2 linked regions of the Caenorhabditis elegans genome follow. The protein of the gene in region 2 interacts with the protein of the main gene of each other region in a pairwise test. Each region holds a gene or a part of one and is shown on either strand. Other genes may lie near its edges. The genes, in order: rga-1 and sdz-38.

Region 1 (7,616 bases), 1.5 Mb from region 2:
TTTAAGCTTACCATCGTTGAAGCAACAACTGGAACCAGCTCACTCATCGCGTATCTCTCAATTCCTAGTTTCGAAATTCCTTGCAAAAAAGCTCGTCGCATCATTTTTCTAACAATAAATCCACACCCAGTTCCATCAGGTACAGCTCCATCGCTGATCGCCACAGTCGCAGCACGAATGTGATCAGCGACGAGACGGAATGTGGCATCTTGTCGACTATCCAGACTTCCAGTGTATTGCTTTTTTGCCAGCTCGGAGGTCTTTTCTAGAATCGGTGTGAACACGTCAGTGTCAAAATTTGAAGTTTTGTTCTGGACAACTGATAGAAGACGTTCGAATCCCATTCCTGTGTCAATGTGGTTTTTTCCCAAATGTCGAATTTGACCACATGAATCTCTGACGCTGCTCATGAAGACAATATTCCAAATTTCTACAACTGAATCATCAATATTCACTAATCGAGAAGCATCTCTTCCGCCGATTCTATCATAATGAATCTCGGTGCAAGGACCACACGGACCAGCTGCACCCATCTCCCAAAAATTCTCAGCGACAAATGGAAGAATTCGATTTGACGATACTCCAATTCGTTTCCAAATTTCTCGACATTCACGGTCTTCCGGTAATCCGAGCTTCTCGATTCCACCGAAATAGGAAACATACAATCTATCTGCATTGATTCCTAGAATTTCCACCAAATATTCCCATGCATATCGACATGCTTCCTCCTGAAAGCAAATAAAATATTAGATATTCAGAGAGAAATGCGTCGTTAAACAACTTTTGAGAATGCATCATTGAACGACCAATTGCCCATCATTTCAAAAAATGTTTGATGATGTAAATCTTTTCCAACGTCATCGAGATCGTTATGTTTTCCTCCGGCTCTAATGCATTTTTGAATATTTGCAACTCTTCTAGATTCGGTTGATGATAGAATTAATGGCTTGAACTGATTCATTCCAGCATTTGTAAATAACAAGGTTCCATCGTTTTCGTCTGGAATTACAGATGAAGATCTGAGTATTTCGTGATTTTTCGATTTGAAAAATTCGTAGAAACTCTTGCGAAGCTGAAATAAACTATTAAAATGTTATTTCAACCGATTTAAAACTTACTTCCGAATGTGAATGATAGAATCCAAGTGAAATTGATTTCTGAATATTATTTTCCAATATTTTGGAGCCAATTCCCATCGCATTCCGGTTGAATACACGTTGAAAACGTTTTCAAAACGAAATAATTATTTAAGAGAAAATGTGCCGTAAATCTACACTGGCCTAGAACATGTTAGGCCATGGCCTAGAAAAGAAGCTGTTTTTTTTTGTTTTATTTTGTTTTAATTAAAAATTTAATTGTTTAATTCTCAAATATTTTTGATTCAATAGTAAACTGGTAATCCCCGTCGACCGTTTGCTGAATAAACACAAAATCCTCTCATTGAAATGACATTTTTGGCGAGCGCCGCGACCACTGGACACTATATTTGCGCTGTGTCGTGACCCCATATCAATTTCATTCATTCTCGCTCACAAAACAGCTGGCTAGACACAATAAATTCAACGAGAAAATATTCAGTGCTGATGGCAATCTGGGCTTTCTCTAAATCAATCCAAAAGAAAAAACGTCATCTTCCCTTGATACGAATCTCATAAAAACCGGCGCTGCTGTCAAATGGCGCGGCGGAGTGTTTCCTTCCTCTCCACTCTCTCTTTCTCTTTTTCAACATAAAAGCCGTTTGGTACATACTGCACTGTTCGTCCATTTCTTCCTCAATCTCCCTCGGTCTCTCCCCTCATAACCGTACCCTCTCTTCCGGTGTGTGTGTGTGTGTCTGCGTCTTGTTTTCCCTCACATCTCTCACCCAACACTTCTCACCTCACGCTGCAATCCATCTGACACATGTTTTCAAACATATTGATTGGTCATTATATATGCCTACTTATTATATGATATTTATTATACGAATCATTTTCTTAGAAACTTAAAATATTTCCAAATTCTCAAGTGTGTGTAGTCAATTACCTTGCCCCTGTCTTAATGAAAATTTCACTGTTAAGATTTTCAGCAAATGGACACGAAACATCCTCCGGATCCATCAGGTCCATCAGATCCCAACATAAATCTTGGAGAATTCGAAGATCCGGTGGATGGCTATGCCGATGATGACCTTCTCACACCGGATGACCTAAGCGGTAAGTGGAATAATAATTATTGATATTTAATTTAATAGAAAACTGGTTTATTTCAGTAAGTGTCACTGGAATGACGCCATCTCGATCGTTTCTGGAAACTGAAGAATTCGAGACAGAGCTTGGAGGTGTTGAACCGTTCGAAGATCTTTTCAACGACATATCAGCTCACGAAATTATTCAAGTAATTGCTGATGGGGATCGAGTTGGAAGGTAAATTAATTTGAATCCAAAAATTAATTATCTTTTTTGTTTTAATGAATCATAGTTTGCAGGCCAATTGTTGTCGTATATGCTTATCGGCTCCCATCAAGCAAGGAAATAGATCATGCCAGACTTCTACAGTATTTGGTACAAATTATTGATAAGGTTGGGAATTTTTAATAAATATAATATTTTGATAAAAATAAAATTTGCAATTTTCCAGATCGTTGACCAAGACTACACAATTGTCTATTTTCACTATGGCCTACGAAGTCACAACAAACCACCGGTACGGTGGCTGTTCCAGGCTTACAAACAACTTGATCGTAGGTAAGTATTTGAATTCAATTCATCTCTTCTCTTTCAAAAAAACCGGTTTCCAGATTCAAAAAGAACCTGAAAGCGCTCTACGTAGTGCATCCAACACGATTCATCCGCATTATCTTCTCGCTGTTCAAAGGTTTCATATCGAGCAAGTTTGAGAACAAGTTCCACTATGTCATGTGTATAGACGAGCTGGAGAACGCACTTTCAGTGGCAAGGTTCGTTTTTTCTTTTCTTATTTTTTAATTTTTTAAATTGTTATAAAAAAGATTATTTTCAGATTAAATCTTCCAAGTCCAATTCGAGATCATGATAAATCATTTTCAACTCAATCAAATCGACCTGAAACACCACCAGCTCAACCTCTGCCAACACAACAGTTTGGAGTTCCTCTCGAGTTGTAAGTCTTTATTCAATACAGTTCAAAAATGTCTAAAAACTAAAAAGAGTTCATAGTTTTTGTCCTGTTTGAACAACTGCTTTTCCCAAATTTGTTGAACGAAGCTGAAATTTAAAAGATATGTCAGAAAAAAAATATGCACAAATACCTCGGAAGTGAATTCCAATGTCCGTTTGGTTTCGGCAACATCACGAGGATTCGCATGAGCAATGAACATTGTTTTCGACGATCCTGCACCCAAATACTCGCGAAGCACCATTGTGAGCTTACTGTCACGATATGGAACATGCGACATCTTCGTCATTTGAGCTCGGATGCATTTTTTCAAAGTGCTCAAGCTCTGGTTGATGTTTGTGAGCTCGGTGAACTGCTTCCCACGAGCTTGCGTCTCCTTCGCCCGTTCGGAACCAGCCAAGTCCACCAAGTTGAGACAGCATTGAACCATCTCACCAGAGGCGTTTTGCCCATCAACGAAGATTTGGAAAATTGCATGAGATCTAGATGAATGCTCATTAGATGCTGTTGAAGCTACGGATCTTTGCGAATCGGCAAGATTCAGAATCACATCAACGTCGGAGATGTTTCCTATTTCGATTTTCTTCAGTCCAACTACATTCGTCTTCGATCCATTTATCTTTACCTGCAAAATATTGAAAATACAGATAATAAGATGAGATTATCTAACCTCCAACTTCTGCTTCCCATCCAACAAATCATAGACTTCTTCGTTATAAACTTCAATGAAGGATGCTTGGAATTTGTAGTTCCAACCAATCATCGCAAGATCTCTCTTTGATTGCTCCAGCATAAATCGAATAGCACGTGGAATGACTCCTTCCGAATCAGCACTATCTTCTCCTCGCATCGTGAAAGTCTTTCCACTTCCAGTTGGTCCGTAGGCGATGAGACACACATTTTTTCCATGAAGCGCACACATGATCAACTCCTTGATCTCACCGAAAACTCCGGATTGGGCGGTCGGAGGAAAGAAGACGTGCTCGAAACTGTAGGTGTTGGATTGGCCGGTGGTCTGAAAATATGTGCTTTAAACTTGAAGTATTAAAATCAAAAATTCGTACCTGCTGGAGTTGAACCTCATTTTGTGAGATGATGCTAAAGTTGGAAGATCCATCTCTCTCAAAATCTCTAACACGGATTGCCACGCGAATTTGGCCACGAAGATCAACAACTTCATCGTTGAGTTCACGAATGATGGCGTCCTTTTCAGCCATTTGGGTTTTAAAACAGTTGATAAGCTTCAGCTTTTCACGTTTCAAAGTTCGATTCTCCTGAATCAGCCTGTCATTTTCCATGTCTTTCTCCTTATTGTCATCTTCCAACTGCCGAAGTTTCAACTTAAGATCCGCCAATTCATTTCTCAAAGTCTTCACTTTTTGATCTTCAACTCTGGATACATCAGCGCAAGATGCTGACGGGAAAAGTGCCGATTCACGTCGTAGCACCTTATTCTGATTCTTTGCTTTATGCAATTGATTCTCGAGTTTTGGAATTGTGGCGGTTTTTCTCTCCAATTGCGCGATTTGATGTTTTAAATCATTAGTATGATTGTTATAAAAGTCTGAAATTATTATATATATATATAAACTAAAAATATTAAAAAATATAACAACTCACCATTTTTTATACGAACACCGTCCATTTGATTCGAACACCGACCAGTGAAAGATTCGGAAATAAATTCTAAATTCTAAACTCTAAGAAAATTCTTTTTTTTTTATTTAGAATTTTTTTTTTCCAATAAATTTCCCACGTTTTCCCAGAAATGTCATTCAAACGTGATTTTTATAAACTAAATTAATTAAATAAATAAATTAATTAATATTAAGATAAACAAATTTTCAGCATCCTGTCTCACTGTGGTGGAAACATCCCTCCAATCGTTGACCAGCTCATCGAGTATCTGGAAGCTCACGCGTTGACAATGGAAGGAGTTTTCAGGAAAAGTGCTAATATTGGAAGTATAAAGAGGCTACAGGATAGAATTAATAAAGGTATTTAATAGGCTAGGAAATTGAATTTTGATTTTGATTTTAATTTTAAATATTTGTTTCAGGCGAAAAAATTGATTTCGAAAATGATCCAGAGTACAAGGACAACGAATACGTGGCTTCCCTGCATGCTTCTGTACTTTTGAAGACGTTCTTCAGGAGCCTCGGAGAGCCCCTAACGACCAATAGGCTTTATCCGAAACTTGCGGCTCTTTCAGGTGAGAAAATATTTAAAGTCAATTGAAAACAGTGTTTATTTAATATCTGAATCTTTCAGAAGTATCGAAAACCGAGAAAAGCGCCGCCGTGAAAGAATTTGTGAAGCTTCTGCCTCGTGAAAACTACATTCTTCTGAAAACAGTCATCAAATTCCTAACTCGAGTCGCCGAAAACAGCAAAGTGAATCTGATGACTGCAAACAATTTGAGTGTCGTTTTCGGTCCAAATTTGACGTGGCCAACGGATCAAGAAGTGCCGATTTCTCAATTGAATAACCTCAATAACTTCTGCTATAAATTAATTGTGGATTATGATTCAGTATTTGATCATTGATCATTAGGGTGTTCAGCTTTTGCATTTTCCCCCGTTTTTCTGTACTTTTTTGCCTTACTGTAATTTATTTATTGCATCCATATTAAATAAAATTCAAAACACTTGTCATTTATACTAAAAATTAATTCACTGTATCCGTACTAAATCATATAAAACCGATGGTTTTCGACGATCACAAGAACATTTAGAAGTCAATAGATAATGAAGATCAATGATTTGTCGAGACGACGTTTACTTCTTTTCGGATTTGACGATGAGTGGGCCAACATTGTCGCCAGTCTCCTTGTTGTGCTTTCCATGTGATCCGTCACAGTATGGCCACTTCTCGCTCTTCCAGCATCTGCAGAATGCCTTCTTCTCTCCAATATCCTCAATATCGACGGTGTCGACGATCTTATTCGAGTCGAGCTGGATCTTGTAGTTGCAGCGAGCCGAACGCTGTCCGAACTTGTAACCAACCTGAAATTAATTAGTGAAATTGAAGAGGCTACATCAGGGGAAGGCTTGAACTTACAAGGTATCCAATAAGAGCTCCTCCCGCGAGAACGGCGGCAGTCGTGGCGACACAGCGACCAGAGACTTGAGTTGGGCAAGGCATGGTACCTGGAAAATTTAATTTAACAAAAAAAATTTAAGGAATAAGATTCAAGCGAAAAAAAATATATACGATTTATCATAAGGTAGATGCAAAATTTGGCGATTTTCGCATAAAAGTACAGTATCGGGTCTCGAAACGACCGCTTTGCTTTATTGGGAAAGAGTATGCGTCTTTAAGGAGTACTGTATCAATTTTCATAACTTTTTCAGAAGTGCTATCTTTTAAAATTTATGAGAGAATTCGCGAGTTGACAACTACAGTACTCTTTAAAGGCGCACACTCTTTCTATTGGAAAACCAGTCGCTTTGAGACCAGATACGTAACCTTTGACCAAAAAATCGGAAAATTGTGAATCTGTGTAATAAGAGGCAGTTCAATCAACAAATTATGCCAAAATTACCAAGCTCTGCAACAGAACAATGCTGTGGCGTTGTCCAACAACAGTGATCTTGAATGAGAGATAAAGCACAAAATCCAGCGATGGTCATTTTTCGAAGAAAATTGTAAAATATGTAGAAATAAATTTAAAAACCTTTTTTCGTAATCTATCGATTGATCTTTTTGATTAAAAAATTTGGACGTGAGAAGAAGAAAAATAACTTTTTTTCAAAGGTCAAATCGAAAAGAAAATCGATTTTTGTGAATTTGATATATTTTACAATTAGAATTTTTCGCTCATTTTCCGCCAAAAATCGAAAAATCTTCAGCCTCGTGGACATTATAAGATCACTAACAATTGTGAAAGAGAAAGAAAGTGACGTTGAAGTCGAGGCGGTCGCCTGAACATCAGCGCCAATCGCAGTAAAAACGAGAAAATGAGAGATAAGAGAGAAATAGACACAAGATACAAATTTCCGTGTGAAACTACGGAGCACAAAGAACATATAAATTCAGTGGAAACACTAATTTTTTATGTATTTATTTGAATTTTTGTCTCGAATAATAAAGGGATGAGAGAGGGAGGGATGGGATACAATTATTATGAACACTTTTCCACTAGAAATGCTCGCATAGGTTGATAGTCAAAGAAATCATTTGGATTCGATAAAACTTTCAGAACACAACAAAAAGAATCTAGAAGGCATCTGCACGGGTTTGACACGTGTTTTGTAAAAAAAAGAAACATAGAAAACTGAGAGTAATATGAAAAAAAAACAACAAAAAGAAATGAGAACTATTGAACCTAACCTATATGAGGAGAAACCTTGGAAAAGAGGAAAAATTGGGGGAAAAATTGGAGAAAAGATCAAAATTATCAACTCGAATGACCTCCTTCGAAAGACAACATGAATTTGAAAAGCTCGTAAACGGACCAGGAGAGAGCAGTTGCAGGAACC
Region 2 (5,198 bases):
TTTGAACATATATTTTTTGCGGAGTCGTGGACATGACAGCAAAGTACTGTCCATTGTGCATAATTGAAATTCCTGGATGGTGTCTTTTCTCACGCAGACTCTCAGATGGTTGTGGTAGTCAAAGCGAAGCGGAGCTGATGTCTCTTCTGCAATAATTAAAATTTGCAACGATTTTCTCATTCACTAAGGGCGTCAATATTTGAGAAATTTAGAGTCGTATAACTAGTGTATAAACTGTGAGTATAACACTTACCAATATCAGACCACGGTCCCACTTTGTCTGTTGCCAGTAAACAGAAGGTAACATCCTTTCCATCTACAAAAAAAAGGCAAATATGCCTTTTCCAAAATGGTGGAGCTTCTGGTACTTGCGTGTTGAGGCATCCAATTTCTTCTCTGAAAATTAAGATATTACATGTGGCTTTTTGATAGTTAACTAACATTAAGTCCGACTGGTTAACCAGATATTTTAGCTGCCAATAGCTGTCGTTCCAAAACTTTGAATCCAGCTTCAGGTAGAAAGTCCCATCATTAGCAATTCCGGCAGGTAGAATGAATGGGCAATATTTGCTCGATTTTCCTCCCAAGACATCATTGACCAAATCGTGTTGCATACCGTCATTCTGTAATATTCATTTTATCAAGTTATCATTTCGTTTTTATTTAACATACGGTTTTTGGAAAATTTCCCTTTTTCAGAGGCTTGTACAGACCAAAGTTGGGACGTGGTGTTCTGCCTTCGCAAGTGTAGTCGTACATGATCGGAGCGTGGCTAACCACATGCTTTGAAAAAGACTCCATCAGATAGTAGACCTAAAAACAATGGTTTCTGAATTTCTTTTTTGGATTATTGTTTTTTTAAATTTGATATGTTACTTTCACTATGCTCTCCCTAGAGTAAATTATGTTTCTTAACTATTAAATAGAATTAAAAATGTCATCCTTTATCGGTGCTTACAGACACACAATAACGGAAAATTGTGGCGAGGCATTTCTGGGCAGTGGAAACTGACAAAAAAAAAGGAAAAAACACGCTCTTAACCTTTCGAAATCACATGAGAAATCTGTGTCCAGAAATTCCCGCATTGCAAGTAGATCAAACAGTTGCGCAGCTGCACAGAGATGAATCGATGGAGTGCGCAGACACAATGAGAAAGAGACGACCCTCGTGGGAGCATGTACTCTTCTAGATCTTCAAAACACGCAAAAATCGATGGAAAATATGATTATTTTTAGAGTCGTCGAAGGAAGGGGAGGAGTCTAGTCAACAAGGTAGATCAAAAATAAATTTTAAAAAATTTGCTATCGTATTTTTTCGATAATATTTTTGTTCATTTCTCAAAAAAAAAACCAATTAAAATAATTTCTAGTTACAATATTTGTATTTGTACATTTCAAATCACAAGTTAATTCGAAGCAAAACTAGAAAAATGACCCGAGAATCTGATATCAAGGGTCTCTGTGTTCAGGACATCATTTTTTAAAAATATTTTCCACAGGATCTAAAAATAAATGCACTTTGGGAATTAAGCGCACATCATTCTGATAAGATTTAGAGTGGAAAACGATTTTTTAAGAAAAATTTATTGAGATTAAAAATATATCGCTGTTCGACATTTAAAAAAAAAACTGTTCAAAGAAAAAATTAAATATAGATCACAAAAAAATTATTAAAATGATGATAAAATGAAATTCTAGCACAATTCGATTTTCTTGAAATCGTCGTCTCGAAGGACATGCTGGATTGTCATTCCACATTTTCGCTTTCTGCATCCACTGATTTTAGGATTGGGAGATTCCAGTTCTCCAACAATCTGTGAGTAGTTGTCCAAAATGAATTTGAGTTGTGTTTCCGATAAATCATTGAATCCTCCAGAGTCAACTTTCAGTGATTGCTGACATTTTTGCTGTCGATTGGCAGAGTAGGCTTTGGATTGGAGAATAGCTGCTTGTGATAGTGTTCCTGAAAATAATTTACTAAGATTTAAGAGTGAATAAATTTGATATTAATACTCAAGTCTTCATAACTGCCTATCGTCTTTCTATTTTTTACCAGGCATCCTTGTGCCTACTTTAAAGCTTCAACTAACCTGGTGCAAATGTACCCTTGGCTAGTACCACCTCGTCTCCTGGCTGCCCAGTTGCTTTCATTGCGTCCAAATGAGTTCTCAGTTGAATTTTGTTCTCAAAAATCCAATGGCAACAACTACACGACTGTACATCTACATATCCATGAGCATGTTGCAAGTGCTTCTTTATACTTTCTCCCAGAATCGGAGCACCTTCACAGTTTGAGACGCAGATGAGACACGTGTGATTCTTGGTGTGAAGTCTGTCCCTATGGCGAGTCATTGAGCCCGTTTGACTGAATGTAAGTTGACAGTAACCGCAGATTGGTGCTTCAGATTTAGGCGAAAAATATGGAGGCATTTTCTGAAAAAAAAGAGATTTAGGAAGAATAGTCGTGAAAAAATATACATTTTTAAAGAAAACACACAATCTTTCGATACAGACCGAATGAAGAGCACACTGGGTTAGAGGAAAATGTGGTGAATGAATGTGTGGTCTTCGTTACATACACAACGTGTCATGATGGGTAACTAGGCGGAGTCCATCGACAACCTGGCGTTCCACCAGGTTTACACCCGACCAAGTACTGCGTTCATGTATCAAATTGCGGTTGGACTCTATAAACATCCAATCAATAAACAGTGGTCTGCTATCCGCTGAGTTCAAGCAGAAAAAGTGAATTTTCAGTCATACCGTTTAGTGCACAAATTGAGATTGAATAAAATCGACCATTTATATGCAAAATTAATAGATTTCCCAATTTTTAAAAATTCATATCTGGCTTCAAACTAGCTTTTTCAAAAATCCCTGCAGCCATTTTGTTGCAAATTTTGTGTTCTTTCAGAATTTAAAAACCAAATTTCCTTTTACCTTTTCTAAATGAAAAACCTTTTCTAATTGAAATATTCCAATGTTTGGTATAATTTTTCAATTGCTACACCATTTTTCGATGAATTTCTCTATTTTTTTCGATTCTCAACTATAATGGTCCTATGAAAAAAGCACCTCGGAAAGGAATTTCAACACCACATCATCAGTCACAATATGCAATTTTATTAACATCGGGATTTTTGGGAAATTTTGGAAACTTGTCGAACTAGACTTTTCCATCTAGTTGACCTTTTTCAAGAAAATCCGTCTTTGACGATTATGTGTAAATTGTTCATTTGAATAAAAAATTTAATTACTCCGTTTGTTCCGTGGGCAAACGGAAGGCAACACCCATTTACATTGAAATTAAAATCATGTTCTTCTTCCTATTCTTCAACATTTTCTTCACACCAACAGAAGCGGATCTAATTTGTGTGGAGTGCTTCTTCTTCTTCTTCTTTTTCTACGTTGTCTTGTTCAAGTATCTAGTACCAAAATGGGAAGGAACCAAAGAGAGAGAAGAAGGACAAACAAAATCGTAAAATGAGAGAAATAGGAGGAGATGGAAGATTTTATTGGTGAGATTAGAGGAAACCAAAACTGAAAGCACCTCAACAACTTCTAAAGTCTTTTTTTCTGGTTTCAGTATCACTTTGGTGTACTGTAGGTGTCAATAGCCTTTACCTTGAAAGCTGAAAAAAAATTTTAAATTATTTAAAAACTTTCAATGATTTCAATTAAAATAATTCATCAGACTGCCTTGATTTTTTCGCTAAAATAAGATTCGAAACGAATATTTACCAATTTTCAGATATTTTCGTCTGTAAAAAAATTGATAGCCAGAAGAAATTTGTATCTAACATATTTTGAAAAAATTTAAAAAAAGTTTAAACTTTTAGCAGCTTTTAAATCGGAAACAAGTTAGGAAATTCAAATGCAACGGAATTCCAAAATTAATTCAGCTTTTTCAATTTTGTTTCAGTAGGTATAATCGTTTGAAAATATTATGAATTTTATTACACAGTGAAAATGTTTACATTTTCTACATATTAAAGCAAAAGACAAACTCTGTATTTAAATTCCAATTGGGAATGAGTTCACGACTAAACATGAAAATATGAAATCTCAAAATTTTGAAGAGACTGTCAATTAAATTGGTTTTTGGTTGCTATTTTTTCATAGCTCCGTATTTTTCGTTTTTTTTTCTGCATCCAAAACCGGAACACGCAATCTTTCCCTATCCCCCGACATCCTCTCCCAACCGAAGACTACTAATTTTCAGTTTTTTTCCCATTACGCCGCTTGTATTTCGATAGTTGTTATTGTTGTTTTGTTAATGCTCTCTACCTCCCGTTCTTTTTATTCTCTTTAAAATTTCTTTATCGTGATTCTCTCCCACTCACTCACTCAACCACTATCTACATTCGGTGTCAAAAACAACAACAACACACCGTCTCGTTTTCATCCTTTTTCGTTTTTTTCCTCTCGTATACCCGCTAGCAATTCGAGTTCCACAAGCGTTAGCCGGGCTACCAGTTGTTTTTCAGCTTCTCACGTTCTCGGTTTACATAAATTTTCACACTGGGAGGTATAGGTTTTCAGTTAGCTTTCAGTTTTCAAAGCGTGCTTCACGTCTTAAAAAAAGTTTTTAAAAAAAATTTCAAACCTATAAATCCAGTCATATCGTAATTTCCTAGTTTTTGAAACTCACACTAAAAGACGCACAGATATATTTGAATGGGTCTCACCTCGAAACGCCAACAAGTAGCTCTTTTTACTTTTGATGTTTAAATTATTTCTTGTTAAAAATACATTATAAATGGGAGGCTAATATACCATATTTCTACCAGTAGGCCCCCCCCCCCACTTTGATGGTCTAAATCAGGGCTGTTTTTTTTTTGTTTTTTTTGGTTTTTTGTTTTTTTGATTTTTTTGGTATTTTTGGGAAAAATTGATTTTTTGGTTTTTTTGGTTTTTTGACGCCAAAAAAACCAAAAAAACCAAAAAATCAATTACAGCACTGATTCCGCAAAAAATTAAACAAAAAACCTTCTGTTCGTTCAATTTTTAATATTTTATGAAAAATTCCGTTTTGTCCCGTTCAAAATCAAACATTGAATTGTTTTTTTGTTTTTTGTTTTTTTGTTTTTTTGTTTTTTTTTGGTATTTTTGAAAAATTCGATTTTTTGTTTTTTGTTTTTTGGTCCAAAGTTCGACCAAAAAATTTTTTGTTTTTTGTTTTTTGGTCGAAAATTTTT

Evidence for each region.
Region 1: the proteins of sdz-38 (region 2) and rga-1 interact in a two-hybrid assay, tested with the Caenorhabditis elegans proteins (one large-scale study listed by BioGRID).

What each region holds. Positions count from the first base shown.
Region 1 is NC_003280.10:11,462,826-11,470,441, forward strand, and holds rga-1 (Rho GTPase-activating protein 68F), read left to right. Parts: upstream 1-2,068; 5' UTR 2,069-2,071; coding exon 2,072-2,195; intron 2,196-2,251; coding exon 2,252-2,405; intron 2,406-2,467; coding exon 2,468-2,561; intron 2,562-2,619; coding exon 2,620-2,726; intron 2,727-2,779; coding exon 2,780-2,938; intron 2,939-3,000; coding exon 3,001-3,120; exon of another isoform or gene 3,121-3,170; coding exon of another isoform or gene 3,171-3,224; intron 3,225-3,268; coding exon of another isoform or gene 3,269-3,760; intron 3,761-3,805; coding exon of another isoform or gene 3,806-4,150; intron 4,151-4,199; coding exon of another isoform or gene 4,200-4,699; intron 4,700-4,755; coding exon of another isoform or gene 4,756-4,780; exon of another isoform or gene 4,781-4,800; intron 4,801-4,983; coding exon 4,984-5,132; intron 5,133-5,194; coding exon 5,195-5,347; intron 5,348-5,406; coding exon 5,407-5,681; 3' UTR 5,682-5,828; downstream 5,829-7,616. Other genes in the region: aars-1 (Alanine--tRNA ligase, mitochondrial), read right to left, coding at 12-728, 782-1,072, 1,119-1,196; klp-17 (Kinesin motor domain-containing protein), read right to left, coding at 3,171-3,224, 3,269-3,760, 3,806-4,150, 4,200-4,699, 4,756-4,780; cisd-1 (CDGSH iron-sulfur domain-containing protein 2 homologue), read right to left, coding at 5,913-6,140, 6,196-6,284, 6,680-6,767; slc-25A37 (Mitoferrin), read right to left, coding at 7,535-7,615.
Region 2 is NC_003280.10:9,979,318-9,984,515, forward strand, and holds sdz-38 (C2H2-type domain-containing protein), read right to left. Parts: upstream 2,544-5,198; 5' UTR 2,479-2,543; intron 2,434-2,478; 5' UTR 2,431-2,433; coding exon 2,091-2,430; intron 1,964-2,090; coding exon 1,695-1,963; 3' UTR 1,569-1,694; downstream 1-1,568. Other genes in the region: ZK892.6 (uncharacterized protein), read right to left, coding at 1-146, 254-396, 442-623, 673-759.